Linked DNA regions of Styela clava. The protein of the gene in region 1 interacts with the protein of each later gene in a biochemical or structural test. Links are inferred from orthologs where the notes say so. Each region holds a gene or a part of one and is shown in the gene's direction. Other genes may lie near its edges.

Region 1 (7,521 bases):
GGAGTTACCGTTACTCGAGGACAGACAACTCGTAAGCATCTTTAGAAACATACATGACGTTATGTTGCAAATTAATTCAATGCAATAGAATAATTGATATTCAATTGCGCGACATTTGAGAGTGAAATTCACCAAATTAGGATATGTTTCGTTTTTCTGAATTGAATCTAATTTTATGATCTGGTACATCGGGCGTTTTGGAAATATGAACATCGGAACAATGAAATTTCTATAATATATTTGACCTGGAAAGTCCACAGGATACTAATTGAAGATTTTAAAATATAAGGCACATTTTATGTCGATCTGTCTTAGAGAAATACTCTGTACAGGCTAACACTTGGAAGTTTGTGATTACCGGGCAATAAGATTAAAATCTTTTTACTCTTTTCCGCAGCATACCGGTATTCGAATTTCTACATATCGTGTACAAGAGTAGGATTGGGTAGGACAATTTACTGATTGCTCCGGACTCGAACCTACCTAGGTAATATTGTCAAAAAATAACCCGTCAAAGGCTGTATATTTTCTATAAATAAAATCTACCATAAAAATTTAATATTATCCTTTTGTTTCTATCAGTTTTGACTATTAAGTAGCTAAAATCCATTTTCCTCCATAACTGGTCAAATCAATCGAATTTCGAGCAATCATATTCTATTCTATATTGAACTCTTCGGTAAGGGTTTTCTAACTAATTTAAAACCTCATAATTATTGCTCCGTGGTAATTATATTCAAGAATATGTACAGTACATCGATTTACAACACTTAAATATAGGCTACCGGAGTCATTAATTAATCATTTTATCCCATGCGTAATAGAAGATCATTCCTTTATACAGTTTACATGATCCCGTTTGGGCATAAAGCAACAGTTGCAAGATTTGATCAGGTGACGTAAATTTCCACTAGTAAATTTTTATTGTGTTTGCTCATTTGGTTTTGAATTGTTCAATTGAGTAGCTCGAGTTACACTGTTACAGTGAGTTATATCATTCTTACATCATAATATCTTTATGCCTATGCCATTTTATATGATATATTATTTTTCGCAAGCGCGTGTCGTGTGAATATGTCTCTTATATGATCATGAACCATCTCACCGAAAGACATAGACTGCCATTTTTCTTCGCTCTCGCAAATTTATTCTTTATTTTCTCTCCTACCTGCCAGGGTTGTTTTTATCGGCCTGTACGGCCACAGGTGTCTATTTACGCTCAGTGGAACGTCGCCTTATTCACCGCGAGGCGAAACGTGTACGGACGTTTAGGCTTTTGCTGTGGCAGGACTAGGGTTTGTGTTATTATTCTGTATTTCACGTATGACGTCAAGGTAGATTTATGACGTAAAGTCGCAAAAAATCGTGGTTTATACCGTGTCGTTCGCAACCGATCGCCGCTTCTGTTAAAGCTGGATTTAGGTGGTAATCTTGAATTATTTATATCTTAGGTTGAAGCAAGCTGTGAATTCAGTACTTCCACTGTCAGTCAGAATAACGTAACAATACGATTTGGACAGTATTTGCAAAGAGGTAGCGATAAGAAAGTTTTTCAAACTTACGACAGGTAAAGAGTTCAAGGAAATTTGTGAGGCATAAGAATATATATATATATGTACAGTCATTAGAAATTTAGGTATGGCGTTGTTTATTTGTAAATAAATTTGGCTGCAAAATTGTGTATTTTATAAATATCTTATATTTGTCCGAAAGTTTTGTTGCTTTTTTCGCTGTCTTGAGACTAGAGACTTTCTTGAGAAACTTCCAATTCTTCGCGATAAAATGGCTTTGCCAGACCGGACCCCGACGTTCGGATTTAGCTTCACGGTGTTGCTTCATTCTGTTTACATGTTATTTCTGATTCAATAATATTATTGGTATTCTATAATTTCTAACTTGTATAAAAACCAATATTTTGAATAATGTTTGAGCAATAATGTAGAAACAAACCTATCTTCATATTTTTAGGTATATATAAAATATCAAATTATTTATAGAATATTTCGTTACTGAGGCGAAGTGATTGACGTAGCATATCTCAGATATTTTAGGGTCAGGATTATAATACTGGGGCATTAAATTTGATAATGGAAGTTCCGAAGGTGTTAACTTGTAGAACGCTAAGTAGAAAGGGTCTAGTCAGTTCCTGTTCGAGTTATTATCTAAACACGACTGTGCCTGGTCGCTTTAGCAGCAAACGATTCGCGGAACATTACAATGGGACAACCCACTTCAAAAGCCCTCAATGACGTTCTTTGTGTTTGACATGGTCCGGTGCTTGCGTAAATAACGTGTAGGTTATAAAGACTATAGAAAGTTTGGCTCGTTATATAACGCTCCAGATTTAATGCATTTTGTACAAAATTTAATCACTTCTACCCCAAAAAACGGAATTTATGTTGACAAAGTTTTAAGATAACTATAAGTCCAATATAATTCCAGAGCTGAGGATATAAACTATTGAAGCGCCAAATACTCACACCTAATTACCATGACGAATTCGTTTCGTGTTAACCAGAATTGAATTGGAAGGTTGTCAGTCCTTGTTTTTATCCCCACTTGTGTATGTATAATGATCTTTGTGATAAAAAAAAAATAGGTGCAATAATTTCAAACGCTTTCAATTGCATTGATGAAGTGAAGCGATGAAATATGCATGACATAAAGTATATGGTAACCATTAATGGACCTTTTAAAGTCTACCGAATCTTTACATCGATTTTGTGAAGGTTGAGAACCAGGTTGAACTTATATAGATGCAACGCTCACTTCATAGTAGCAAGTAGTTCGTTTTGCAGAACTTTTTCAAGTAGCTATATACAATAATTTTATAGGATTGGGCAAAAGAATCTTCGAATCCGTATTGTTTGCTCCTTTATACGCCTTCTATCACTCCCCGCGCGATAAATTCAAAAATAAATGATATTATATTGAAGCAATACAACCGTGTACAGTATTCATGATAGAAAATATGAGATACTCCTTGCAACTTTTTAATGGGTACCAACATGATAATCAGTGGTCTAATCACTACTGTATATCAGTAACCTAACAGATTTTTTCACTGCGATTAGCTGGTTTAGTTCGATATCATTCAAATATATTTGTCTTTCGATATCGGAACCTCCTGCCTCGCTCCCGTGATAAAACAAACAACTTCAGTCGTTAATGATTCATAAGATGTTCCACGATTTGTTGACTTTTATTGTTTCCCTGCAAAACGTTCATTGTTTGCAGACTTTATTGGTCCTTTGCTTTTATTATCCTCAAGGTTTTGTCAGGGATTGTTTCCTGCCCCTCTTTCCGGCAGTAAATCTAATAAACGATATATGGTCCGGTGTCTCTAAAGCATTGCATTCAAGATTGTTCCAACTTCTGCAATGCTTTATAAGTGTTCGTAAAGCAATGCACTTTGTCAGATTTACATCTATAACTGTCGCTAGCGTTTAAAATTGGCTATGATTTCTCACATCTTAATCAAGGTTTCAAATGCGTCCATACCTGGCGCATAATAGTGTATCTGAAATGTGAATTATTCAAACTTCCTACCGCTTTACTCAAGCCGTATACATACTCAATTAAGCTGTCATCTCCCTGTCTTCTTGATATTCTAGACTTCCTCTGTGCATATAAGTTATATGTTCTATCTGAATGTGTAAAACCTTACTTGCTGTAGAGGCTCTCCGATTAAGTGTTCGAAACGGTCGTTCACTCGCTTCAATACGGATTAAATGTAACGCAAATGCTGTACAGAATTGAATTGTGTAGAAGCATATTTTATAAACTTCAACAATATTCTATAAATTAAACGCATTGACTCAATTGCGAATTCGGCAGAAAAAAACTTTCTCATATTTAAATTAAGAAAATCACGATGAGATTTTTTGGAAGAAGAATAATAGGATTATTATATTAGAAGCGCACTTCTCATAAACTTTTTATGAACTTTATATATTATACAATCATATAATCCCAATTTCACGGCGTCAATTTTATTGTTAACATGCGGTGTTATGCTAGTTTTCTTCAGTGTTACACCAGTTCAGTTGTGGGTTCAAACCAACAGTGAGTTTCTCTACCTAGATTCTTGCTCCTCTGATACCACTGATTCGAAAGGCTTAGGTGTATCAACCAGTAAACTGATCTACTTTTTTCAAAAACAAAATCAGTTTTTACTTTGTTAGAGCTTTGTGTTATCAGATCAAAGATTGAATTAAAGAATACACCTTTGACATTTCGATATTGTTAACAGTGGCTTATAACCAAGGTTATAACTAAAAAAAGAACATAAATTGTTACCAATGCTAGAGAGATTTATTTTAAGTTATACATCAACATTTTAACACATCCGCCTTTTAGTGGAGAAAGTGATTTTTAGGTTTTTATTAAAAAATATTTCATTTATTTCATCAAATTGTTTCATGCAGTTCTCAATTCTTCCGGATTTTTGATAAGTTGAATATAATCGATCCGGTGTTTTAATTTAAGAATATTTTATTATTCGTTTTCTGAAGTAAGGTTGTTCACATCTTTGATCGGATTTAAACTTGAAAAGAGAAAACCACACGGACCCTATATATATATGAATAATCCATTACCGGAATATATTCGAATCTTGTCTTCTGATATGGACGCATGAAGACTTGAAGATCAAGAACAAACGTCTTTACAACCAAAGACAATATGAACTTAAAGATCAATATATTGGTTCTGATTTTACTTCTGTTTGTGTCAAGAAATTCAGGCGTACAAGGAAAAGGTATGATTGTTTTCACAAATTTAGTTCAAATCTTGTTTTATTGTTTAGCTGATTAGAGTAATGTAAGTAATGGTAATTGCTACTACAGTATTTATATGCGAGCATATATGGACACAAAATCGTATCTATCATTTTTATTGGGTTCACCAATAACCAGCGCAAGTTACGAATCTACGCTACGTCTTTATTCAATCATCAGTTTATATTGTTAGTATTAAATTCAAAATATCAACCTAAAAAAAAGTAATAACAGTGGTGGAAATACAAGTAAGAGTATGCAATGGAAACGCGAAGGCCGTGGGAGTATATATAAGTTTGTGGTTCTCTGTACAATACGTTCTGCCACATATAACATGTGATGCTGATAATGATATAGATATATCAAATTACATATGATAATGAAGTTTTGCAAATATCGTTTTACGAGAATAATCGAAGTGAAGCAATGGCAATTTAAATGCAAATAGTTATGCTTGAGCCAAACATTCTCTATGGACAACTAACGTGTTCTCTGGTTGATGAATGAGATTAAATTTTCAACTAAATGCGCTGACTCCAAGAAATAACAGATAAAATTCTTTGTGGTTGATGAAATTGTATTTGAATTTGGTTTTCGGTCCATTTTTATACTTGAAAAATATACGTTCTCGTATTTTGAACTAATGATAAATCGATCAACGATTGGCAGTCTTTTCATTGATCAATCTAAACGCAAATTTTATGATTGGCGACATGCGAATTTGATTTTTGATAAGACTTGTCACGGAGTAATCCTTAAGACCTGATTCGGTCCAAAGGAATTTGTTTTTGGAAAGTAATGTAAACCAACCTTCGAGAATTTGAAGCTAAATCTTCCCTCCGGCCATAGAACTCAGTGTTTTGATCATAAATATTCAACCTGTGTTTAATACGCTGTAAAACAGTTCAATCATTCTCAGGAAATCTCTAAAGTTTGTTTGTATTTCATTTCGTTTTAATTGACAAATAAACATCTTTAGATCAACGAAGACCTATAAATGAATATTATTTTTGTCCGCCCCATCAAGCAATGCCTTACTAAAACTATAAACACCAAAAAATTGTGCTAAGAAAATTACGAAAAAAACATTAACGTGGCTTTTTTGTTGCTTGCTGGTACGGCGAATACGTCCCGTCCCGTTAAGCTGATTTGGAACCATACAACAGGAATATTGTTGAAAATTGTACCATCAACACGGGCGTGAACTTTTGCCGAAAAATCGTTTTTTCCGTGAACGGATTATCCTAACTTGTTTTTTGATTCTAACGATGAAACCCACGGAATTGAGTAATTTGAATAATTTTGAAATGAAGGATATACACAGCACAAATATTGTTGAAAAATTCATTGTATTGAATATTAAATTCCAAACTTCTGTGAAGTTTTTACGTATGAAAATTATTGTTGCATAAATCAATAATATAATTTTGTTTCAAGCATGTATCATCAGATTAAGACAATCTCGACGCTCATACAAAAATATTGTTTTGTGAATAAACGAAAAAATATCTGAATGGACTATTGCGAACTCGTTTTCCAAAATGTTTACTGTTGAGATTGCGAAAGTAAAAGAACCTAAAAATGTCCAATAATGTCCTCGTACCGACATCCATTTTATCATTAATCGTCCAAACGATTAATGATAGCATGAACGTACGCTACTAACTTAGCGCTTCAATACGAATACGTCGTGTATAAAGTTGTTTATTTTCGCCCTATTTCCTTTTTGAAAGTTCACAGCATTTGGATAAATCCTTTGGGACAGACATTGTAGTGGCTTGAACGCGTGTCCTTGCAAATCGATGAAACTGGCAACCCATATGTAAAATTGTTGGGCATTGCCGTAAAGCAGGCAATTCTTCACGCATGTACATTTATGAGCCCCTAAGGATCTGTTGTGGGAATACTGTGATAATTCGATTCACCACACGCATCCTCTAGTCATACTTGACACATTTTTGCTTTTTGTGTTTCAAATCATATTATCTATCATTTTTTTATCGTTAGAATCATTATTGTGCCATGTTCAAAAACAAACAACCATCAAATGACATCAGAAAACTGGCAACCCAGAAGTAAAGTTAGGAAATGCTTGGCAAACATAGAGATTTCATAAGCTGTAGGTCTGAATATTGTCATACGAAATGATTTCTCTCGATTTAGGCCATCACCTAAACTTGGAACCGACAGCTGACCAACGCGTTATTCTTTATGTTTGCTTTGAAATTATTGTAGGATGTATTTCTATTGTGAATTTCGCTCTATGGGTGTCCTACGAGGACAATGACCGCGACTAGGTCTCGCTTAGTACAATGTATAGACAATATATGATTTGTGTATATAGCGGATTCCGTCTCACGCAATGCCAGTGTATTGCTGCAAACATTTGGCCTCGTTCAGATAAAGTTAGATTTAATGAATTCGTATCTCATACCAGATGCATTTTCACCTTTGTATGGCATTAAATTTTATATATAGATCATTTTTGTTTTCTATACTTGTTCCTAAATGCTCTTTTTTTGGTACCGTGGTTGATTGTTTCAATTTTGAGAAACCTCGTAAAAGACTTTTATTGGAATGTCAAGCTGTGACAGAATTTTTAATTATTTGGACGTAATGATAGTCGAAAAACCCCAAACTATTTTTTTTATTTTTGTTCCGAATACTGACCAACGCATATAGCGCAACTCCCATGTGGTATGGCATTTTAGATAGTGCCAATCCCAAAGCTTCCAGGTTTTGT
Region 2 (7,609 bases), on another chromosome or scaffold:
ATTCCAATTTGGTTATTGATAAAACCTGTTTCTTATGTCGTGTGAACACTCAGCGAACTACCTGGATTCTATAATTTCAGTAATTTACAACATTACAATAAAAAATGACACATACTATTACAAGTCTTTCAAGTATTCAAAATGCGATTAAAAAAAATATTCTGAAATCATTAGATATTCGAGAATGCCCAGCGACCTTATTGAGGAGAAACGCGGATTCAAAATATTTCACTGGTTACGAACTGCCATATTTGCATATTTCTCCATCAAACCATTTTTTACCCTGCAGGATTCATCTATAAGAACATCGATTGTTGTTCTCGATCTCATCGATGCTATTGCAGAAGGATCTATTGATTACAGCAATGTTTCACCTGGTGATAATGAGGAAGAGCAGCAGAGCAATGCGAGGTACTTTACTGCGTTATGCTTTTTGGAAAGTTATTCAAAGCACACTCACAAAATTATGCTAGGGAAATTTCATCTAGAAAATTCCGCCATTTGAAATTTCATTCCACTCTACTAAATTAAACTCGAACCTCCAAGGTGCTTTTAGTTTCGTAGCAGGAATTTTCAAGGAAAAAATTTAATATAGCATATAGCCATATACTGTACTGTACTATATACTTTTTTTCCGGCATTTTTACTTCTTATAATGGCCTTGACCCTATCAGTAAGATTTGAAATAGATTTGTTGTTGATTAATTGTGTGTAATGATGTTACAAGTTTTAGATCACCAGTTTTGAAACACATTTTAACTGTAATTGGGTACTAAAGTTTTAGTTTGAATATGGTAATTTCCCCTTTCAACTCCTAGTTTTAGTTGGTTATAAACAAGATTGCTAATTGGATTGTCGGACATGAAGTGGACCAATGGACCGTTTTGTCATATTGTATTTTTCTTGTTGTTGTTGTGGAAAAATCACTTTTCTCAATAACTGATGGACCAATTGCTTTGAAATTTCCAGTGGTTAAGATTAAGGATAATGTTGTCGCTAGAATATTACTTTTATTTATTTCCCAAATTACTGTGGGCTCTATGGATTTGTGTTTGTGCGGAGACGTCATTAAAATTGAAACAAAACGCACCATGTCAAGGTTCCATGATCGCATTTTAGCATCTCGTGGTCAAACTGTCTGTGCTGTAAAATATTTTATGCTTCTTCGTTTTGGCCTTCGTACCTTACAGATAGAGTCACTTAAGGTTTTTTCATATTTTTTTGGGCTGTAAAAATTGCATTAAACTATGAAAGCCACTGATCCTAGTTGAAAATCTAATCTCTGATGTTTTGTACTTACAAACAACCTTAATTGCATTTTCCATTTTGTTTTTAGATACGCTATTTCCATGGGCCGTAAAATTGGAGCTAAAATTTATGCTTTGCCTGATGATTTGTGGGAAGTAAACCAGAAGATGGTAATGACAATATTTGCTTGCCTTATGGTCCGAGCTTTGCAGCTGAAAAGTGAGGAGGGGGAAAATTGAGGACTCGAAATTTAAGACTTTCTTATTGAAGTTTTGAAGATGTGCATTCCAACAATTGTGTCAATAATTCTGTCCTTATGCAAATTTCAAGAATGTAACATCAAGTCATCAAACATTACTTTAATGTAGAGCAGCAGGTCCAGAATTCAAATTATTTTCAGTATGTTTGCTCGCATTTTTTTTTCAATAATGATTAACAGTAACATTTTCACATATTATGACAATTTTATTAAATACGTCATTGCACATTCATTTGGTTTATATCTTTCACTTTCATTTCATGCACTTGGTATTTTAGTTAATCTGGCTCTTGCTTTCACACACACACTATACTATCATATTAAAATTACACCAGAATTTAGTCCTATAACAGTAATTATCTGGCATTTTTTGGCATTAAAATCTGTTGGTAAAACTTGGCACTTATTCAAACTGTACATAAAGTAGTATCATTATACCTTGGATATATTTTAATATTAAACATAATGTTATACCGTATATAATGTACTCAGAAAATTTTTCAAAGATGAGGATTTAACCCTGTTATAACATGTATCTTAATGAAGCATTATCTTTTTTTTTTTGTAAAAATCGTTTCTGGCCACCAGGTTTATGTTGTATCCATGACTAATCCAAGTCCCGAGTATTACACATCATTTTCTGTTTGTCGCATTCACTCACTACATTCCAATCTCAGCACGGTAGGATAGGCTTTTGTTACTGCTAATATTATATGTTTTGTGTGACCAAAAAATACAATATCATACCGTTACTTTTTTCAAATATTTTATTCAAATTTTTTATCAGGATTTTTTTAGTGCAATGGTGAAATTTGAAATTAAAATCACATATTAAACTTTTTTTGGCCACTGGATTCTTTTAGAGCAATGGTAAATTTGAAATTAAAAGCACGCATTGAAATTATTTTGGCCACTCTTATTTCTATGTAGCGTACTATGCTGTAACTATCTGTCCAAATAGCAATTAAAACTTATTTTGTGAATTTATGAATAATGGTTTGTGGGATTCAGTATTAGACAATTATGCTACTACACCGAATTATGCCTTTATTACCGATTCACAATCCACAATATTAGCAATAACAATAATGCATTTTTCATATTATTCTGTTGCATCATTCCAAGTCGCTTGTAAGTTTGTTTTCACTAAAAATGCAATTTCGGTTGAGTTCAATTATTTTTGGTAAATAATTTTCGTTGAATGTTTTGATTCACGAAGTCTAATTTTGTCACTTTCAAATGAGTTTCTTGTTTAAATCGGCAAAAAGTTTTGTTAAAGTGCATTTCCTATGCAGTAAAGCTCGCTATTTAGTTTTTCACCAAATCTAATGCTCGTTAAACCACATTTTCAAATTTTAATACAAGGAGTGTGTGTGATATTGATATCAGCTATTATATACTATAACACTAATCATCCAGTTATAAATGTGTGTCATGATTCTTTATGAATTTATAGGATTACTGGGTATGGTTGAGGATATTAAATTCTCTGGTGGGTTGATGAAGCGCTGATCGAGTAAATTTTGTTTATGTAAAGATGTTCTGGTTCATAACCGTTGCAAATTGGATTTTCTTTTATGGTTTAAAAATTTGCCAATGATTAAAAAGGGGGTATTTGCACCTTTCCAGGCCATTTAGAACTAATATCTGATAAAATATTGCCATACCTTATTTAGAATGGAGAACGAACAAAAACTGTGATCTGTCGAATGGTAAACCCATGTTACCAGTCAAGATAAATGTGAAAATTTAGCTAGGCACAACCAATGTTAGGGAGGCTAAAGTCCTTGATTGGACCAGAATCGTCATTTGTCAAAGACTCGTCATCTAAATGGGAAAATTCAGATTCGTCATCTACCAACTACTAGACTCTGATTGCCCGTGAGTCGACTCTGGATTTATGGACTTGTACACAGCCAATTTATATACACTAGGACCTAGGTTACAATAAAAATCAAGTCAAGCTCTTTTCTCATAATCTGTTAATGAATGATCAAGAGCAGGAAACGAAACAATGTAACTAGAATGATCAGTTGTTCCTGTGTACACTGAAAAGGGAGTAGCAATTATATTTCTCTGCTATACGAATACGTAGTATTTTCGAACGAATTAATTATGAAATAACCATGAGAGCCATTCCATCTTTAGTACTGAATACCTGAAATCGGTTGGTTGGTCCATTAGTTGTGGAGGAATGCGATTTTTCCCAACAGCAAGGTTTAGCAACACAATATCAACGATCATCCGATGGAAACTGACTTCAAAATCAGCATTGCTGAGAGCGAATTTTAAGGAAACCGGTGTTACCAACAGGAGTGGCGGGTGTTCATTAACTCACCCTTGTCTACCACATAAATATATTGACCCGACGTCCTAACAACGATATAGCTACACGCGCACATTAGATAAAACTCTACCATTGAAAAAGAGCAAATATATTTGAAAGTAAGAGTTAAATAATGTTAGGATAGGATAGGATTTACATATTTATCCCGGGGGAGAGGAAAGCCGATAAGACGGCTTATCCATATGGCGAACCACGGCCTCTCGTCCGGTTACCATTCCTAGTCGGGTATGGGATTAGTTTTTTACTGTATTGTATATTTTCGGAAGCATGAACTTGGTGGTGGAGGAAGCCGTAACCGACCAGCGGTTACGTGAACCACCCAACGACGGCGAGGAGTCCAGCAATCCTCTCGCACATAACCATCCCTGCATGGGATTCGAACCTGCGAACCCACGCAGAGTAATTAGAGGTGCGGTGGCGAGCGTATTCCTAACGCTTAGCCCGTTGAGCCACACCGCCGCCGCGCCATGTTCGACTCCGACTCCCGGTTGACGGAGGTTTCGACTCCCGAGTAAATTAAATTTTGATGAAAACTTTTTCAGGAGACTGTTTGGAACGTTTAATAAACTTTTTTATGGTTGAAATTTACTTCTGAATGTCTGAAACTTCGATTTCAAGGCCGACTGCTGACAACATAATTTAAAATAAATGCTCCGGAGTCCCCGACTTGAATCCGGAGTCCCTCACTCACGTAAGATTGGCTGTTTACAGTACTAAACACCACTGTCATGCTAGCCAAATACCAGCCAAATATCAAACTCATATTCCCGAATTTCATATTAAAGTGTTTCCTGGTCTAACAAAATGTACTTTCTGACTTTCTACGAAAACTAATACTTTGGGACATCACGCTATCGGAGGATTTATATTCAGATGATGATTTGGGAATATTACTGTCTCTTATTATAATGATATGATATGGAAATATTGAATATTTGAAAAAAAAGTTCAATTATGTGAAAATTGAATTTTTTCATTAAAAATAGAATTATTTCAAATCTTTCCGGTCTCGAGGGCAAAGATTTGAATATACCATTGGATAGGGGACTAACATAAGAACATATTCCAACAAAAAAATTGTGGTGACACCCGACGAGTTTTCGAACTTTTTGAGGTTCGAAAATGTTCAAGTATGAAAAAATTTTACTTTTTCACAAAATATCGAATTATTTCGAATCTTTCCGGTCTCGGGGGCAAAGATTTGAATATACCATTAGATAGAAGACTAACATAGGAACATATTCCAACAAAAAAATTGTGGTCACACCCGACGAGTTTTCGAACTTTTTGAGGTTCGAAACTGTTCAAATACACAAAAATTGAACTTTTTCATAAAAAATCGAATTATTTCGAATCTTTCCGGTCTCGGGGGCAAAGATTTGAATATACCATTAGATAGAAGACTATCATAGGAACATATTCCAACAAAAAAATTGTGGTGACACCCGACGAGTTTTCGAACTTTTTGAGGTTCGAAACTGTTCAAATACACAAAAATTGAACTTTTTCATAAAAAATCGATTTATTTCGAATCTTTCCGGTCTCGGGGGCAAAGATTTGAATATACCATTGGATAGAAGACTAATATAGAAACATATTCCAACAAAAAAATTGTGGTGACATCCGACGAGTTTTCGAACTTTTTGATATTTTTTTGTTGGAATATGTTCCTATATTAGTCTTCTATTCAATGGTATATTCAAATCTTTGCCCCCAAGACCGGAAAGATTCGGAATAATTCGATATTTCATGAAAAAGTTCAATTTTTGTGTAATTGAACATTTTCGAACCTCAAAAAGTTCGAAAACTCGTCAGATGTCACCACAATTTTTTTGTTGGAATATGTTCCTATATTAGTCTTCTATCCAATGGTATATTCAAATCTTTGCCCCCAAGACCGGAAAGATTCGAAATAATTTGATTTTTTGTGGAAAAGTTCAATTTTCGCATACTTGAACATTTTCGAACCTCAAAAAGTTCGGAAACTCGTCGGATGTCACCACATTTTTTTTGTTGGAATGTGTTCCTATGTTAGTCATCTACCCAATGGTATATTCAAATCTTTGCCCCCAGGACCGGAAAAATTTGGAATAATTCGATTTTTCATGAAAAAGTTCAATTTTTGTGTATTTGAACATTTTCGAACCTCAAAAAGTTCGAAAACTCTTCGGATGACACTACAATTTTTTTGTTGAAATATATTTTTATGTTAGTCCCCTATCCAATGGTATATTCAAATCTTTGCCCCCAAGACCGGAAAGATTTGAAATAATTCGATTTTTCCTGAAAAAGTTCAATTTTTGTGTATTTGAATATTTTCGAACCTCAAAAAGTTCGAAAACTCGTAGGATGTCACCCTTTTTATTTGTTGGAATATGTTCCTATGTTAGTCCTCTATCCAATGGTATATTCAAATCTTTGCCCCCGAAACCGGAAAGATTCGAAATATTTCGATATTTTGTGAAAAAGTTCAATTTTTTCATACTTGTACATTTTCGAACCTCAAAAAGTTCGAAAACTCGTCGGATGTCACCACAATTTTTTTGTTGCAATATGTTCCTATGTTAGTCTTCTATCCAATGGTATATTCAAATCTTTGCCCCCGAGACCGGAAAGATTCGAAATAATTCGATTTTTTTATGAAAAAGTTCAATTTTTGTGTATTTGAACAGTTTCGAACCTCAAAAAGTTCGAAAACTCTTTGGATGTCACTACAATTTTTTTGTTGGAATATGTTTCTATATTAGTCTTCTTTTCAATGGTATATTCAAATCTTTGCCCCCAAGACCGGAAAGATTCGAAATAATTCGATATTTTATTAAAAAGTTCAATTTTTGTGTAATTGAACATTTTCGAACCTCAAAAAGTTCGAAAACTCGTCAGATGTCACCACAATTTTTTTGTTGGAATATGTTCCTATATTAGTCTTCTATCCAATGGTATATTCAAATCTTTGCCCCCAAGACCGGAAAGATTCGAAATGATTTGATTTTTTGTGGAAAAGTTCAATTTTCGCATACTTGAACATTTTCGAACCTCAGAAAGTTCGGAAACTCGTCGGATGTCACCACATTTTTTTTGTTGGAATGTGTTCCTATATTAGTCATCTACCCAATGGTATATTCAAATCTTTGCCCCCAGGACCGGAAAATTTTGGAATAATTCGATTTTTCATGAAAAAGTTCAATTTTTGTGTATTTGAACATTTTCGAACCTCAAAAAGTTCGAAAACTCTTCGGATGACACTACAATTTTTTTGTTGAAATATATTTTTATGTTAGTCCTCTATCCAATGGTATATTCAAATCTTTGCCCCCAAGACCGGAAAGATTCGAAATAATTCGATTTTTCCTGAAAAAGTTCAATTTTTGTGTATTTGAATATTTTCGAACCTCAAAAAGTTCGAAAACTCGTGGGATGTCACTTCAATTTTTTCGTTGGAATAAGTTCTATTAGTAGTCTTTTATCCAGTGGTGTTTTCGAATCTTTCCCCTGTGACCGAAAATATTCGAAATAGTCAAATATTTCGTATAAAATCACGGCCACACTTCGATATGACATTCGGTACAACTTTTTCAAGATTTGGCTGGAATTTTGCTGGCATTGCGGTGGCGTACTACAGTACTAAACCTAGTTGTTTGTAGTCAGAGGCTAATGTATTCACTTTTGTGGGAACTAATTCAGAATTAACGGTCGTTCGTGTAAAATGACATCGATATCCCGAAGGTGAGTGCAATATTTGGTATCTTAGAGAC
Region 3 (7,548 bases), on another chromosome or scaffold:
AACCCTAACCTGGTACACACACTGCGGGAGTACCCAAATTTTCACTCAGACAACTTATAATCCTCGTTAAAATAGAGTTAAACTGAATTGAGGCGAAATGTATTGAAAACTATATAACGCAGAATTCCTTTAGTTTGAATGCTTTATATCAATGAACAGATTTTTTATTTAGCATACTGATAAAATAAAAAATTGAAATACCAAGTGTAATTTCCTATACCATTCTACCCCAATCAAGCAATTATGCTAATTTTAAACCCCAGTTACGTATTTTTTGGCATGAGGTGCACGTCTATTCAATATTTACGCTGACCCACTCTTTGCATGATGTCAGGGTTCAATCTTAATAAATATTCGAATTCCCAGTCACATTCCTTGAAAGTGTATTTAGGTAGAAATACCTAAGTTAGTATTTTAAACGGTGAAAAACTCATCCGCGTGTTCCAACCTCTCAGATGGCTGCTAATGTTTCAAAGGATAAGACAGCCAGCTGAGCGAGCTGTTTCAAGCAGACGCCATATTACAAAATATCAATCCTCAAGATTGCACGCATGATCCTTCTACTTATCGGCTGATAATGAAGACATTGTCATTTCAGCTGGGCACATCTCATATATAGACAACATAAATCTCAACGAATTTTTTTCGAAGTTATTTTAAATATTCTCGATAATCACATGATCTAACTATCGCCCAAATTTGGTCATATTAATTAATCCTTCTGCAGCCAACGCGGAGGCAAATGCTTTCACATCAGAGAATTAACGGGAGTTTTACACGTACAGCACTTCCTGTATATATCTGCACATCTATCATCACCTTGTTTATAAAAGCAATAAACAATTTATATTTCGAAAGCATAGATAAAAAGAATATCGAAAAATAATGCAAATATTACAATAATTTTAGAGTAATATACCGTATCCATATTGCAATTACGCGCGATAGCTGACAAATTAGCAACCGTGAGCAGTACGTACACTCAAGTTATCAATATTTACTAATTTTCTATTTCGTTAGCTCATTCTCTCCTTGAATATGACCAAACGGCTCGAGGCCATTTCTATTGCCTCTCTATACAATGTGTATATTACGTACGGGTTTCCAAAATATATGAAATGCAATTGCGTTTGGGTATTTTCGACCAACACGTTGTGTTATGTGCGCATTTATCTGTCAGTTGAAGTGTTATGTCATCACATGTATATTGGATTACGATAACGTCATAATTATAAGCTGTAAAATAAATTTAACAACGACTACAATGTGAAATAATTCACCTACAGTCAAGCTTTACAGAAAAGTTGAATAGATAATTTTCAAAAAGAATTGTATACGCATAAAATAATACTCGTATACAAGATTAGATATTTGAATGTTGGTTGTTTGTTCCGATTGCTGTTTACTTGACAAAATATAGTTCAAAAAAGTAAATGAAGAAATAGATAACTTTCTCCTAATTTCAACACTATTTTATTTTGCGGTGCTTAAGAAATAATGTTTTGTAAAACATATTGTTGCTATGAACACTTGTAGTATTTAACAGAACATTAAAGAGTGTTTACTCTTTACTGTAATGATAAAATATTATTCAACTGCAGACGTTCTAGTTACCTTGATCTTTCGACAACAAGACATTGTATTTTGAGTCTTATAAATTCGGAAATATCTATAGTTATCGTACTAATTAAAAATTGAATTTACTCACCCTCCTGCGCATCTTTTCCTAACAATAGTAATAGTCAACTTCTCTTGCTTATGATATATATCAGTTTGACGCAGAACAAAACTTCGAAATGAAAGAAATCTTCTCTGTTATTGTATTTAACCTGCGAACTTTAACAATGACGATATGAGGTGTCAAACATAGAAGGCATGTTTATCTCAAAAGCAATTAAAAAGCCTGCTCATCGTAATAAAACACACCACAAACGCGCATTAATAATATAATAGAAGCCTATGTTTTCACGGAACCGTGTTCGTCGATTTTTGATGACGAACTTTTTATAAGAACATTGGCCAACATCATGCGGTAAACATGTTTCCAAGGTCATGGCCTTGATAAAATTAGACTTGCCTGATTTATAGGAGTCTGAAGTGTCGAGAAGAAGTGTTACCGCGAATAGTTATAAGGGTGTTTTTACACTTTAAATCTCAGGAATTTCAATGAATTGGTAAGTATTATATTTATAATCATTAAGCACAAATAAAAATTTACTTTATAATTTTTGATATCTTGAAAATCTTGCTCCAGAGGCGTAATTTGTATATAATAAAAAATGAAAAAAAATGAAATTTTTGCGACAAGTGACAAGTTTTCTGATTGATGGTACAGCAATTGCTGCGCTTGAGCACCTCGTATTTGCCACAGTAAAAAGTAATTATGTCTCAATAATTCGAATATACTGTTAAACGTTCAATTTTAGATATTTATCTTCAGAGTGAAATGCAACGCCATTGTGTTCTGACACTGTTTGCCATTTTATCATGGCTTTAATCCAATTCTAGATTAAAATAGTCAAATGTGTTCTGGACATAGAAGCATTCCAAATGGACGAAATCAAGTGTGGGTGTTATTCATCAACTCTCGGGATTTACTTGCTAGTGACGGTCACTGGAATAACCCCTCAAAGAATACTACTTTATATCAAAGAATGTGCAGTTCCCATTGAAGATATTGGCGATATTTATGACAGCTGTTCCACTAAAGCCACCTAAGTACGGCACCATTCACGACAGTTGCACAACCAAGTTAACTCGTGAATCGAGTTAATTAATCCCAATAAACTGAATCAAGTCGAGTTTCCTTTAGTTGTTCTTAAACGGTGGGAAGCTTCATAAGGGGCGCGTACACAAATTTTGAGGGGACGGGAAGCTAATTAATAATAAAAATATATTATATTTGTTAGATTTGATCTCGCCCGCCCTGTTTCGGATATTCACATTTTGCACGATTTTAAAACTTTCATTTATTTCATTATTTACGTTCCATCCACGTATTTCCAAAGTGATTTTTTTTAATGAAACATACTTTCGCCTTACCATCTGTTATTTGTAGCTTATTGTTAGCTAGTTATTTTTGAGGTGGGGCGCGAGGCTTGAAAAATTCCAAAAAATGGGAACCACTGATTTATACCGATCCGTCATCGGATTTAAAAATATCATTGTGGTGTTCAATTTTTAAATTTTTGTAACAAAACTGTGTTTTGTGGCTTCTTCACTTCATTCTTTATTGCGATTAACGAAACGTTCATTTTTGTGAGTGACTTAGAAAAGCAAATTTTTGACGATTTTCCTGCTTCAATTATTCCCAAAATAATCTGATTTTTCACTCACTTGTATAATTTCCAAGAAAAACTACTATAAAAAGCTAACAAGAAACAAAACAAACATGTATACATGACTTTTTAAAATTGTAATTCAATTTTTGGCGGTTTGAAACCGGCTTCAACAACACAACATATTGCCGAAAATTTTTCCTAACGTCATTTTCTGTAAGTCGGGCAAATGTCATAGTCGCTATCGCTAATTTGTTATGCAATGTTGGTTAATGTTAAATTGGTTATTGTTAATAGTATATTCAAATATCAAGGAATGAACACTGCCAGATGTGTGCAGTATATTATGGTAAAAGAGCCGCAGGCAACAAGCCGGAAATGTGTGAAATTCGTTTCATTGTTAAACGTTTACTTTCTTTTTTTAAATTGAAACTTTTCATTCGGCCCAACCGCGGAGCTATATATATTTCTAGTTCAGTACATCCAACGAATTCATTTAATGCATTTCTGGTAGAAAACAAGTTAACGGTTCTGTGCAATAAGCAAATATTATTGATATTTTCACATCCATTTAATAGTTGTTTAATAGTTGAAGTATTCGGCAACCAGTTGTTCAAAATGTATCTTTAAATTTTTAGAATTCCAACCGAACAAATATAACGAGATATATATCACTGATTCGAATAAACTGGATGCTAATTTAGTCTAAATAAACACGTATCATTATATCATTTTAAATCGCTGATATAAATTTAGCACTTCACACACGCAGCGCTACAATGATTTTCAAATTAATAAAAAGAATTTAAGTTGATTTAAAAAATCTCAGTACCCTTTTATAAATCAATATGAAATTTTGTATTGCACTGACATGTCTTGATTTTTTCTTGGATATGTTTTAATATTATCAAAAGCAGTGGCAAAGCGCACATTGAAAACACAGGGTCGCGTTTTGACGGCCGATATTTTCCGACATAGGTATCTAAAAATTCACATCGGTATGTCGTAATTTTTGCTCTATTCTGAATCATCGTGAGGTGGCGCTGGAGATCAACAATTTTTAAGAATATCTCTATCTCTATCTAACTTGACATTTCACAGTTAGTCTCAGACGTCTGGACGTAGCCGAGCTGTTCTTGTTTTTATCTTTTCCGCCGGTAAACGTTTATATATATTCTGATATATGACTTAGATTTTGGTGAATTTAATAAGCAAACAATACAAGAGATGAATCGAATGAAAAACAAAAAGGTAATCGAAGGAGATCAAGCAAATGAATGGAGGAAATCAGGGAGCTTTGTGAATAAACCTTCAAGAGGATGGCTCCATCCAGATAATTCTGTGATGGGACCTGGCGTCGTCTATGCAGTTCGGGTAATATTTGATGCACATTATGGTTTTAATGTTTTTCATTATAATCTAGTAAACTCTGTGTATGCTGCAATGACTCAATGAATAATCTAGGAAACTTACAGGCTTATCCAGTTATCGATGAGAATAACTGAATAGAAGAATAATGGGGTCTAGCGAAGTAAACCTGTAAACGCTGTGACCTAAAATGCCAAATATCTGATGTAAAATGAGCGCCAGAACTGCTTAAATAACACAGAACTAGAATATGATGGGAAATTTTCATGTTTTTTTTTAAAAAAAAGTCGGTCAGCGTGGAATGAAATTCTTGGCGTATTAAGTCAGTAAGTAAAATGAAACCCAAGCTCACTAGAAGTACTAGGCTAGACCCCATTTTTGTTTGGCATCATTTAAGCTCTTACAGCGTTCACTTCGCTAGAACGAAATAATGCCAGACTCATACCAATGAAAGTAGAAATGATGATTTTTTTCCGTATTTTATACTTGAGATAGCTTCTCTTGTTAACTAATAGACCAATCGATTTCAAATTTCCGCTACTTAAATGGGGAAGTAATAGCCTGACGGTTCAATATTTTTTTTTTCAAGTTCCCCCTAAACCCTGTGAGATCCGATATTATACCCAAAATATCACTGTTTTATTTTTATTCATGGAAAACCTATTTTTATTTCATTTTTGCCATTGTCAAGGTTATCCTTCATTTTTGTTTTGTGAACTAGGTACTCAGCCACGTTTGAGTGTAAGATACATAACCTACTGCAGTTAATTGTTGAACTGTCATGTTCATAAATTTGAGCATTTTTCTCATATTTTTTATCTTGTTTTTCATATTTTTTTTATAGTATCTTGGATGTATAGAAGTCAGGCAAAGTATGCGGACATTACAATTCGATATGAGGACACAGGCAACAAAGTGAGTTTCTAGTCAAAATGTTTATCCCTTTTTGTTAGAGCCTGACCATTTAGTGTTAAATTTGGTATGCAATTTGTGTACAAGAACCATGATAAGTATACAGGAAGGTCTTATCTTTCCTCATATCTGTTTATGGTGAGGTGATGTAATGAATATTAATAAGCATTAGTCATTGTAATTGTCATTCACAGTATATAAAATCTTGGTGTCAAAAGGGTTCACGGGTATGAACCCAATGAAAGATCCAATCTTGAAATGAATTCAGAAGCAATTTTTCTAACGCTTCGACTATTATTGTATCCAGCCTGTAAGAGTCGATCTGCAAGTAAAATACTGCCTTTTTTACTTCTTATGTAAGACCAATAATATAGGCCAATTGCTGAAAAAACTCAATTTTTTTAGGCATCTAAATTTTTTTTATACCATGTTGTTTATGGCCTTTACCATCAAAAAAGTGAACAAGGCTTTGTAAAGCATCTACTGCTAGGTATCAATGATCAAATTACTTCAGATTCGGTTCAAAATGATTACGTGTAGTTGTTGGTCCATGCTATTTGTTGTGGTACAATTAGATATTAATGGTGTTTTATCCATGTTTATTCTAGGGCAAAGAGTCTGTAAAACTGTAAAAAAAGTCTGTAATTTTCTAAGAGATATAATACTGTCAGTAATCCTTTTATAAGTGGAAGTCACAGGCTTAAGGATTAGTTTGCAACTTGCAAGTTTAAACCTTCACTCTGGAAAAAACGGCTGTTCCAAACTTTTTATATCAGACAATGTAGCTGATACCATAGCTTGATCCATTTACTAATTTTTTCTGATGATTTATTCTGATATTACTTTAAAGGGAAGCAATATGGAGAATATTGATGGCCACAAGACGATCACATCAACTGGTTTCTCGAAGGAAAAAGACTCCGAAAGAAGTTTCACGAATTCTAGGAGAACGTCCCAATCTACAGTTTTCATTATCATTGATTAATTTAACAATTTCAACAGCAAGTTTGACTTTGGTTGTCACTGATTCGGGACAGGTATTGATGATATTTATACACTTTAAAGAAAATGTGCTTCACACATACTCAGTAATGAAAAAGCTCTGTGTGAGGAAAGTTACTGGTGATCACTGAAATGACAATAGCTAACATGGAGTTTGAAACCTTCTCGTGAGTTATCTAACTCTAAATTTCACCAAAGGCCTGCAGTTAGATTAAATATTCTCATCATCTTCTGCTTAACTAAGATATTGTTTGTTGTAGATTTGCTACGAGCATTCTTTCATTACAAAAGTTTCTTAATTTGAAAATAACTCATTCTAGCTCACTAACTTCGTTTCTGCAAAAAATGATTTTAGTGGGTGCAAGTAGACAAAAAATTAATCATCTTTAAACTTGCCTCTCGGCTCTGACTAGGTTCTCAGAATGAGTGAGGTATGGTGGATGTTAACTTGAACAAATCTCTACCAACTGAGAGTTATAAGAGTCCTTCAATTCAATTTGATGATAAACTCAAGTTTTTATTCTTTTGCAAATACGATGGAAAGTGCAGTTGACAGTTATACTGTCATAATCCATCCATCACCTTTTAGGTTTGAATCTTGTGATTCAAATGATAAGTACAGGTTTTTTCTTCTTTTTGCAAATACAATCGAAAGTAAAGTTGACGCTTAGAGTTGTTATTAATATTGCATACTATCGGCTACTAATGTTCTTCGGAATACTGGCAACACAAGTTTTGTTACACTTTGTTGTTATTGATATGGTTTGTTTAGAATTAGGATCAGAATGGGCAGGCTCTGATGTAATTGCCACTGTGCCATCGGTGTAACTGATAGTTTCGTGCTTGTTGTAGCAACAAATGAGCATCTTAATTGAGATGCATGACCATGTGTCAGAATGCATCCAATAAAAGAATCAATCATGAGTTTAAAATCTAATTTACCCAATTATACTAATGCACAGAGGTACGGGGATAATAAGATTGATTT
Region 4 (7,926 bases), on another chromosome or scaffold:
GACCGATTTTGATTTTTGAGTTTTTAATTTGTTTATTAATAAAGAAAATACAATTTCTTACTTCAAATACAACTGTTTCATTGACGAACAATTGAGATCGAAGCAATTTGTAAGATTTATTGACAATTTTATCAAGAACATCAGATGAATGATGAGTTATTCGCAGGACGTCCTCTTCGTAGATATCAGAAAATGACTTTGACAACCTGGGAGTGAAAAGGAAGATTAAACCAACCAATAAGCCTAAATTGGTATTGCGAATTGTTAAAAAATAGGTTCTAACTTTATTAACTGTTATAAAATGGTACTGGGACAGTGTCTATATGACATGTTTTTTTGTCTCTACAGTTATAATCGGTGCAGTAAAACCAAAGTAGCCTGTGTCACATTTTTTAGAAATGGAATTCATTCATCTCCTGTCATTAAGGACCTGGGACCATCTTTTGGTCTGTGTTTCGAAGATGTACATTTTTTAGTTTAAATTTCAGGTACTCCCTTAGCTGTACAAATTTGAATATTACAAAATGCGTTTTTCTCGAAACCTTAAAATGTGACGATATCTCGTTTTGCTTAAAGAAGTTGAACTGTGACGGAACAAAAACATTAGACCAAATCTGATCTAAAAATAAATGAATTCAATACATTTCTCTTGTGCTTTTTTCGGATTCTAAAGCCTCTTTATGAGTGAGATTGATATGTCCTGTGCATTGACAAGTCCATAGTTTTCTGTTATATAACTGAACTCTGTCATCATATTGTCTGAATTTATGACGTAATTAGGGAAAATTCAATCAAAACAAGAAGTTGAATACTCATGAACACAAAGAAATTCCAAACCTATCAGAGATGATGTTACGCGAGAAGCTCTATATTTGCATATAATGCAAGGCTATCGTAGTGAAATAAAGAATACTTAAAAATGTGTTTGATCACAAAGTAGACCCATTCCTTGCTGCTCTTTAGAAATCCTCTTTTTCACATGTACATATTATTTCCAGTAATTTTACTCATTGCATAAAAACATTTGACAAAAGATTTTACAATACAGAAATAGCAATATCAGAATATTCAGATATGATAAATTCAGATAATAGTATTACTGTAATAAATTTTGCCGAAACTGGAAGTTTTTGAATTGAATACTTGAAAATCATAATTCATTTAGTCATTGTTTATGAAATTCAATAGCATTTCTGTGCACACATAAATATTTAGTTTATTACAGTATTATAATATTTTGCTAATGGAATAATTTGAAAAGGATACTCTTTGGATGTGAAGAATTCTCCTGTATGTGGAATTGTATAGGTTTCTGCTGCAGTGTCCAATTCCACATTTTCAACTGGACCATTGAAAATATGTCTGCCAAACAATGGCATGACTGGCAAGCTGTTGTGAACCAATACTATCCCAAAATTAAATTATATACTTATTCAGTTACCGGTATTCAACCATACATATTAATGCTATATCTGTATGAGCAGCAAAAACAGATGTTATAATTACTGGATAGGATAGGATAGGATTTACATATTTATCCCGGGGGAGAGGAAAGCCGATAAGACGGCTTATCCATATGGCGAACCACGGCCTCTCGTCCGGTTACCATTCCAAGTCGGGTATGGGATTAATTTTACTGTATTGTTTGTTTTCGGAAGCCTGGACTTGGTGGTGGAGGAAGCCGTAACCGACCAGCGGTTACGTGAACCACCCAACGACGGCGAGGAGTCCAGCAATCCTCTCGCACATAACCATCCCTGCATGGGATTCGAACCTGCGAGCCCACGCAGAGTAATTAGAGGTGCGGTGGCGAGCGTATTCCTAACGCTTAGCCCGTTGAGCCACACCGCCGCGCCTGAATTGATTGATAATAAGGCTGTACATAATTATAAAATATTGCCAGTGCTTACGACCAAGCAGCCTTAATTTTAAAATGTTACATGATTTAACACTTTTAATTCAGGGACTATAGACGTAAAAACAATACTGCAATCCAGAAATATCCGAATAGGCTATAACGAACAAAAACAGGTTACCTTGTTGTCGTGATATCAATGGCGCCACAAATTTAACAGACTTATTATTGGAATAGTTGTAATATCCCTTACATAAGGTATCGAACGCGTCATTCGCGAATGCGCGCACGACAAAAAATTAACGCCACGAAAATGTCAAGAATATCAAGTCGAGGCGCGGGCTCCATTCTCTATAAAGTAACTATTGAGTGAGTTCATCCCGCCACAACCGATCATGTGTTTCATTCACTGTGACGTATGTAGCATTGACACAGCTGATTTTAGAAAGACTGTAAAATCACAGTTAAATTAAACTGTTGCTTTCTTTTATTATATTTAATACAATTTGTGGTGATTATGAAAATGGAAATTAACAAATACGTAAATGGTGTTGACTAAATGCGTATGTTTCAACGATAATCCGTTCCTGTAAAAATGTGTTGCCAAGCATTGTAAATTGTATTTAAAAAAAATTAGCATAACTTTTATTGTTCAACGAATTGTTGTTCATTGTATGTGTTTTGTGTATGATTTTTTTGCTGGACAAATCAAAAATATAATTATACTTATTTTAGTAGGGCCACGGAGTATACATGTAGTTCATTCGGGACATAAGGATAGCATCTTACTTGATACTTTTGTGTCGCACGTTTTAACCTTCATTTGAAGTTTTGACAGTTTTTCTAAATTTTTGTTCTGTGAGTTTGTTTGTAATTTTTTTTTTGTATTATTGCATAGTACAAAATAAATTACCATATCATATAGCGTACATAACCGTATTAGCAGCTTATGTACACTGTACAAATACATAAACAGTATTGTCGCGGATAGCTCCGTAGCTAGATGGGTTGTTATGTAAAATCTATGATGGGATGGGAAAATTAATGTCGAATTTTGACAGACAAAATTTTCTTATTGATGAAATAGTGGATGACATCCTAACAAATTCCATAATGAGTTGAAATTTTTTTTCAATTTAATTAAATACATGTGAAATGTTTAATGTTGCATGTTTTTTATAGGATATTATTAGTTGGGTTTTTGCTAAATTCTGTTGAATATTAGATATGAATAATACGTTTTACATAGACAGGAAATAGGAAAATCCTATTGGCATGATAGTTATTCATATTTTCCGTCTAATCTTTATAAATTTTGTTATTCCATGCTAATATAAAATATACCTATTTATTTTCACCATGATGACATTTGGGACATCGATCATCTGCATTGTAACTACGATGAATTGCTGATATAGAATATGTGAAATATGATGTAATCTGTGTATGGGTATTGTCTACTTATTTTTCTCCACCTAAACGAAATTCAAATAATGCAATTGTATTCCGAACTCGATATTCCACTTGACGAAAAAAAATACATATTCAAAATGTAACATTTGGCTTCTAAATTCTCGATACAAAAATTCCGTTTTGGTATCGGAATTTATTTGGCAAAAAAAAAGCAACATCTGTGATTGGAGTCTGCTGTTTCGTTGTGGCCACCGTAGTCGCATGGTGTCATCATAGAGAGTTGTTCTGTAAAGGTTGTCCGTTTTTAGTATTGTCGTTTTATATTTCAGTATTTCTCAATAGTCGCAGGGTCAGCTTGGGATATTTAATAGGCTGAGTGGGTGGATAATGAGAATAATTTATTTGGCCTTAGCCTAGTTTTAGTTTGACACAAAGATCTGCAGTTTAAACAGTTCTATATATTGTACTGGTATTACTGGATTAAGTATTTGATTCTGTGTATTGTCAATTGTGGATCAGTCTACTGACATTGGTTAGGGGCTGTAGGGGAGGATTGCATGAAATTTTTTTTTTAATACTGACTGAAATGAGTGTAGACTATATATATATATATATTTATAAATGTCGGAACAGCCCTAGCTATAATAAATTCTACTGAAATGGCAGAATAGGAAATTCCCCTTCCAGCAGTTGGTTTAGTCTTAATGCAATCTCAAGAAACTAACTATCCATATTAAGCGATGTAAGACAGTAAATTAGATATTTAAACCTTGTGTGTCGCTGCTTGATAACCAGCTTCGGTTCCTCGCGACTTTCCTTCCCCAGTAAAACTGTAATTTTCATTTCTTTTCCTCGTTTTTTCTGTGTTCAATTTTTCTTATTTATATTTATTCACTGGATGGAAAAAATAAACTTGACTTGGACGAGATGCTTACATACAGACATATCCAGATATCACCATAGCCTACAGGCATACCGTAATAAATTCAATGGTATTTAGCTCAGACAGCCAGAAGGGTTAATTAATATATGTTAAATGTATTCCTTTATTTGTAGACTACAAAATCTGAATATCAATTTTTCATCTTTGTACCTGTATATTTCAACTACACTGCTACAGAAATATGAGAAAATGAAACTTCCTGCCGATGAATAGTCTATATGGATATCAAAATGGATTTACAAGATTGTGACATTATTCTGGATATATAAAGTTTGTAGTTACATGCGGACAATTTTTGATACTGCATCATTGAATTGAAAAATTGTTCATTGGTATATCTTATTATCTCACTACACGAGTATCTGCTGTTCAAGTATGTCATCTGTTCTGCCTCAACAATTCGTAAGATTTTTTTCAATCTTTTGTGCTTTTTGACTGACAAATATTGACTTATTTTCTGTGTAAAAATTTGGCCAAAAATTGGCATGTATAATTAATAGCTCATACTTGTGTTTTTTTTCTCTATGACAATTTATATACTAGAGCAGTGGTTCTCAACCGCCGGTCACTGGTCCGCGGCAAACTTGCTGCTGGTCCGCCAGATATATTCCAATATTAACATATTATAAGCAAATTGTAAAATACAACGTATTGACGGCATGTCCCTTAATTTCGTGATTTTTTTCAACTCTTATTGATTTGTAGCACCGGTATTCTAACAACAAACTTGGCGAGAGGTCCTCTGCCCATTTCAAGGCTTGAACGGCTGGATGTTCGTTAAGTCTATGATCTCATAACGGCGGCTAACATCATAACGGAGGAGTTTGATAGCTTATAGTACGGTGCCTAATTGAAAATTTCGCAGTTTGCACGCTCCGTAATTTGACAGTAGGCCTATAATTTAGCGAGGTTTGATAGTAAAATGGAGGCAAACAAACAGCAAAGTATTAACCAGTTTTACAAAAGAAACCCAAGTTAATAAGAAGTATTTGGAGCTAGGTTTCACTATTGCTCCCAGCAGACTAAAATTACCACTTCCCATGTGCCTAGTCTGCGCTAGAATTCTTTCAAACGACGCAATGAAACCCGCAAAGTCAACGCTCTACTTCGCCTTACAGAAACTTCATTAGAACCGCGTTTAACATGTATACTATTAGAAAGGCAGCAAATATTTCATTGAATTGGATTGTCTTCTTCTGCACCTTTGCACCATACTTTTGTCGCAATTGCATTCTTTTGATTAAGTTTTGTGTTCATGACATTTTTAGTTTATTTTGAAGGTCCGCCGGTCCGCAAAATTTGTTTTGAAATTTGACCGGTCCGCAAACTGAAAAAGGTTGAGAACCACTGTACTAGAGGTTTTTTATTTATATTACATTCATATTTGGATAAATTTTAATTTTATTGTAAAATAATTTTCCTATTTTTCATACTTTCATGGACTTGGGCAAATTGGTATTTTATTTTTAGACATTTAGGAGTTGCGATAATGGCAGAAATATTACACACTCTATTTAGATTGATATAGCAGTTGTCGATAGGTCACGAAAAACCTGTCATTGAGTCCGGAAAGGTAGTTGCTGAATTACAACAGCAAATATAGTCAGAGAAACAATCTTATAGGGATTGTTTGATCCTTCTGTACACTGTGTGTCCGACAATATGAGTAAATTAAATAATTTATAATAAATAAACTACTTTCAGGGTGGTAGCCATCATTCATATTTTCTCAATCAACCCGCAATTGCCAGTATGGATGAATCGGTTTACATGAATGAAGAAATTCATGAAGATGATCTCATTGATATGATGGATGGCAGTTATGATGTTACAAGACAGGAAGAAGCTGACACTCCGCCACCAAATCAGTGAGGATAGCACTTCTGACTCACACTTGAAACATGTTCATTCTAAACAGTTTTCTAATTATTTTTGTGAGGAACATAACTCTCTGAATAGAGAACATGACATGAATAGAGTTCGTGCATGATTATCTAAACCAGTGTTTCCCAACCTTTGGGTGGCGACCCGATATTGTTTCTTGAATTGCTTGTTTCTTCATTAAAATCCTAAAAGTTACTAATTTTATTTTATATTTGGATGTTGCTCAATAGTAATTATAATTGTATAGTATAGTCTATGTGGGAAGTATCACAGTTTAAAACTTGGCAGCATTTATTTTGCTCAAGTAAAGTCACAGCTGATGGCAAACTTTTAAACTTCGCACATTGAAATGAACGCTATGTAAAAATGTTTGTTTCAGATTGGTCATTTATTTTGCGACCATAAAAGTATTACAGTACATACGGCCATTTAGTAATTGAGCATATCTTTGGGTCGTGAGATTTTACAAAATGAATCTTGAAAAATGGTTGGGAAACACTGCTCTAACAAAAAGGGACAATTCCGCATATATTTAGTTTGTCTTGAGATATCTATACAGTGTGATTAGTTTCTTACTGGCAATGGTATTTTGAATGAATTTCTGTGAAACATGAATTGAATGGAAGAAAAATAATTTGTTATTACTATATTACTACAATATAGTAAACTAATCAATTTTTTAATTAGGACTATTTAATTACGGTACTCTGCAAATTCAGTGATTATTTGTAATTTTCCAATTTATTAGGTGATATCTATATATAAAAAACTCCTAAAGTAGCTATTGAGTTATTCAAATGAGATTGGCTATTAAGTGTCTTCTGTTATTTCAATTCCTTGTGTTTAAGCTTTCTATAGTTTAAATACTTATTTTGATAAACTTGCAGATGGTATCATGGTAAACTTGATAGAAATATGGCGGAGGAAAGACTGGTGGAAGCCGGATTACAAGGTGGATATCTTGTGAGAGAAAGTGATAGAAGACCTGGTTCCTATGTTTTATCTTTTTTCAGTATTACTGGAATCACTCATTTTAGGTATGCTGTTTATTGTTGTTACTTATTAATTAAGATAATCATAAATTATTGTTTGTTAATTATATATTACAGTTGCATTGCAAGCATTGTTTAATATGTTTGAATATGTTAATTTATCAAATAAAAAATTAGAAAATTTTTGTTTGGTTAAAAAATGACTGTAAAATTTAATATATCCTTTATGAGCGAATTTCTGAAAGAAAAAGAAAAATATAATATAAGACTTAGGTTGAACAATGTGAGATATCTAACTCTTTGAAAACATCTAGTTATGCCTATGTTTACAACTCCACATTTACTCTTTTTAAAATATACCAAGATCAAAATTATCTTTAAAGTTAAACACCATTGTAGAGATATTATAAAAATACCATAATAATTCTTAGATTGGAAGTTTAACCTTTATTTTATCTTGGTAGGATACTTGCGGTGTGTGGTGATTTCTACATTGGCGGGCGACAGTTTGATTCATTATCACAGCTTATTGCCTATTATTCATTCAAGTCTTGCTTGTTGCAGGTAATTTTATTTATAATTATTAATATTTTAGTAGTTTTGTTAATTTGCTGTTAATTTCGCTTTGTGGATGTGGTGAATTGTTTAAAAATATTGGAAATTCTTTGGCATTGTTGTCTTAGTAAAGTAATCTTTAGGTAAATTCGAAAGACTGGTAATTGAAACTTTCGGGGAAGCCAGCATTAAAATGCATCCCCATATCACTTTAGGTAAGTGAATTGGAAATCTTTAAAAAAATTTCTACTAGTTGGGAAGAGGAATATAACTCAGTTCCTAGT

What was found.
Region 2: the proteins of receptor tyrosine-protein kinase erbB-4-like (region 1) and tyrosine-protein phosphatase non-receptor type 11-like form a complex in vitro, tested with the Homo sapiens proteins (2 studies listed by BioGRID, with this or other methods). The link is inferred for Styela clava from reciprocal best matches to the Homo sapiens genes ERBB4 and PTPN11.
Region 3: the proteins of receptor tyrosine-protein kinase erbB-4-like (region 1) and SHC-transforming protein 1-like form a complex in vitro, tested with the Homo sapiens proteins (2 studies listed by BioGRID and IntAct, with this or other methods). The link is inferred for Styela clava from reciprocal best matches to the Homo sapiens genes ERBB4 and SHC1.
Region 4: the proteins of receptor tyrosine-protein kinase erbB-4-like (region 1) and ras GTPase-activating protein 1-like form a complex in vitro, tested with the Homo sapiens proteins (2 studies listed by BioGRID and IntAct, with this or other methods). The link is inferred for Styela clava from reciprocal best matches to the Homo sapiens genes ERBB4 and RASA1.

Annotation. Positions count from the first base shown.
Region 1 is NC_135261.1:9,855,833-9,863,353, forward strand, and holds the start of receptor tyrosine-protein kinase erbB-4-like, read left to right. Parts: upstream 1-4,431; 5' UTR 4,432-4,683; coding exon 4,684-4,759; intron 4,760-7,521. UniProt on the Homo sapiens protein: Tyrosine-protein kinase that plays an essential role as cell surface receptor for neuregulins and EGF family members and regulates development of the heart, the central nervous system and the mammary gland, gene transcription, cell proliferation, differentiation, migration and apoptosis.
Region 2 is NC_135256.1:10,912,848-10,920,456, forward strand, and holds the start of tyrosine-protein phosphatase non-receptor type 11-like, read left to right. Parts: upstream 1-4,333; 5' UTR 4,334-4,560; intron 4,561-7,471; 5' UTR 7,472-7,560; coding exon 7,561-7,580; intron 7,581-7,609. Other genes in the region: plastin-2-like, read left to right, coding at 290-411, 1,337-1,487. UniProt on the Homo sapiens protein: Acts downstream of various receptor and cytoplasmic protein tyrosine kinases to participate in the signal transduction from the cell surface to the nucleus. Positively regulates MAPK signal transduction pathway. Dephosphorylates GAB1, ARHGAP35 and EGFR.
Region 3 is NC_135252.1:18,272,920-18,280,467, reverse strand, and holds the start of SHC-transforming protein 1-like, read left to right. Parts: upstream 1-4,375; 5' UTR 4,376-4,505; coding exon 4,506-4,652; intron 4,653-5,490; coding exon 5,491-5,561; intron 5,562-6,408; coding exon 6,409-6,595; intron 6,596-7,548. UniProt on the Homo sapiens protein: Signaling adapter that couples activated growth factor receptors to signaling pathways. Participates in a signaling cascade initiated by activated KIT and KITLG/SCF.
Region 4 is NC_135257.1:15,737,172-15,745,097, forward strand, and holds the start of ras GTPase-activating protein 1-like, read left to right. Parts: upstream 1-4,328; 5' UTR 4,329-4,586; coding exon 4,587-4,613; intron 4,614-5,915; coding exon 5,916-6,079; intron 6,080-6,982; coding exon 6,983-7,132; intron 7,133-7,551; coding exon 7,552-7,651; intron 7,652-7,926. Other genes in the region: tyrosine-protein kinase BAZ1B-like, read right to left, coding at 62-206, 643-759, 1,267-1,379. UniProt on the Homo sapiens protein: Inhibitory regulator of the Ras-cyclic AMP pathway. Stimulates the GTPase of normal but not oncogenic Ras p21; this stimulation may be further increased in the presence of NCK1.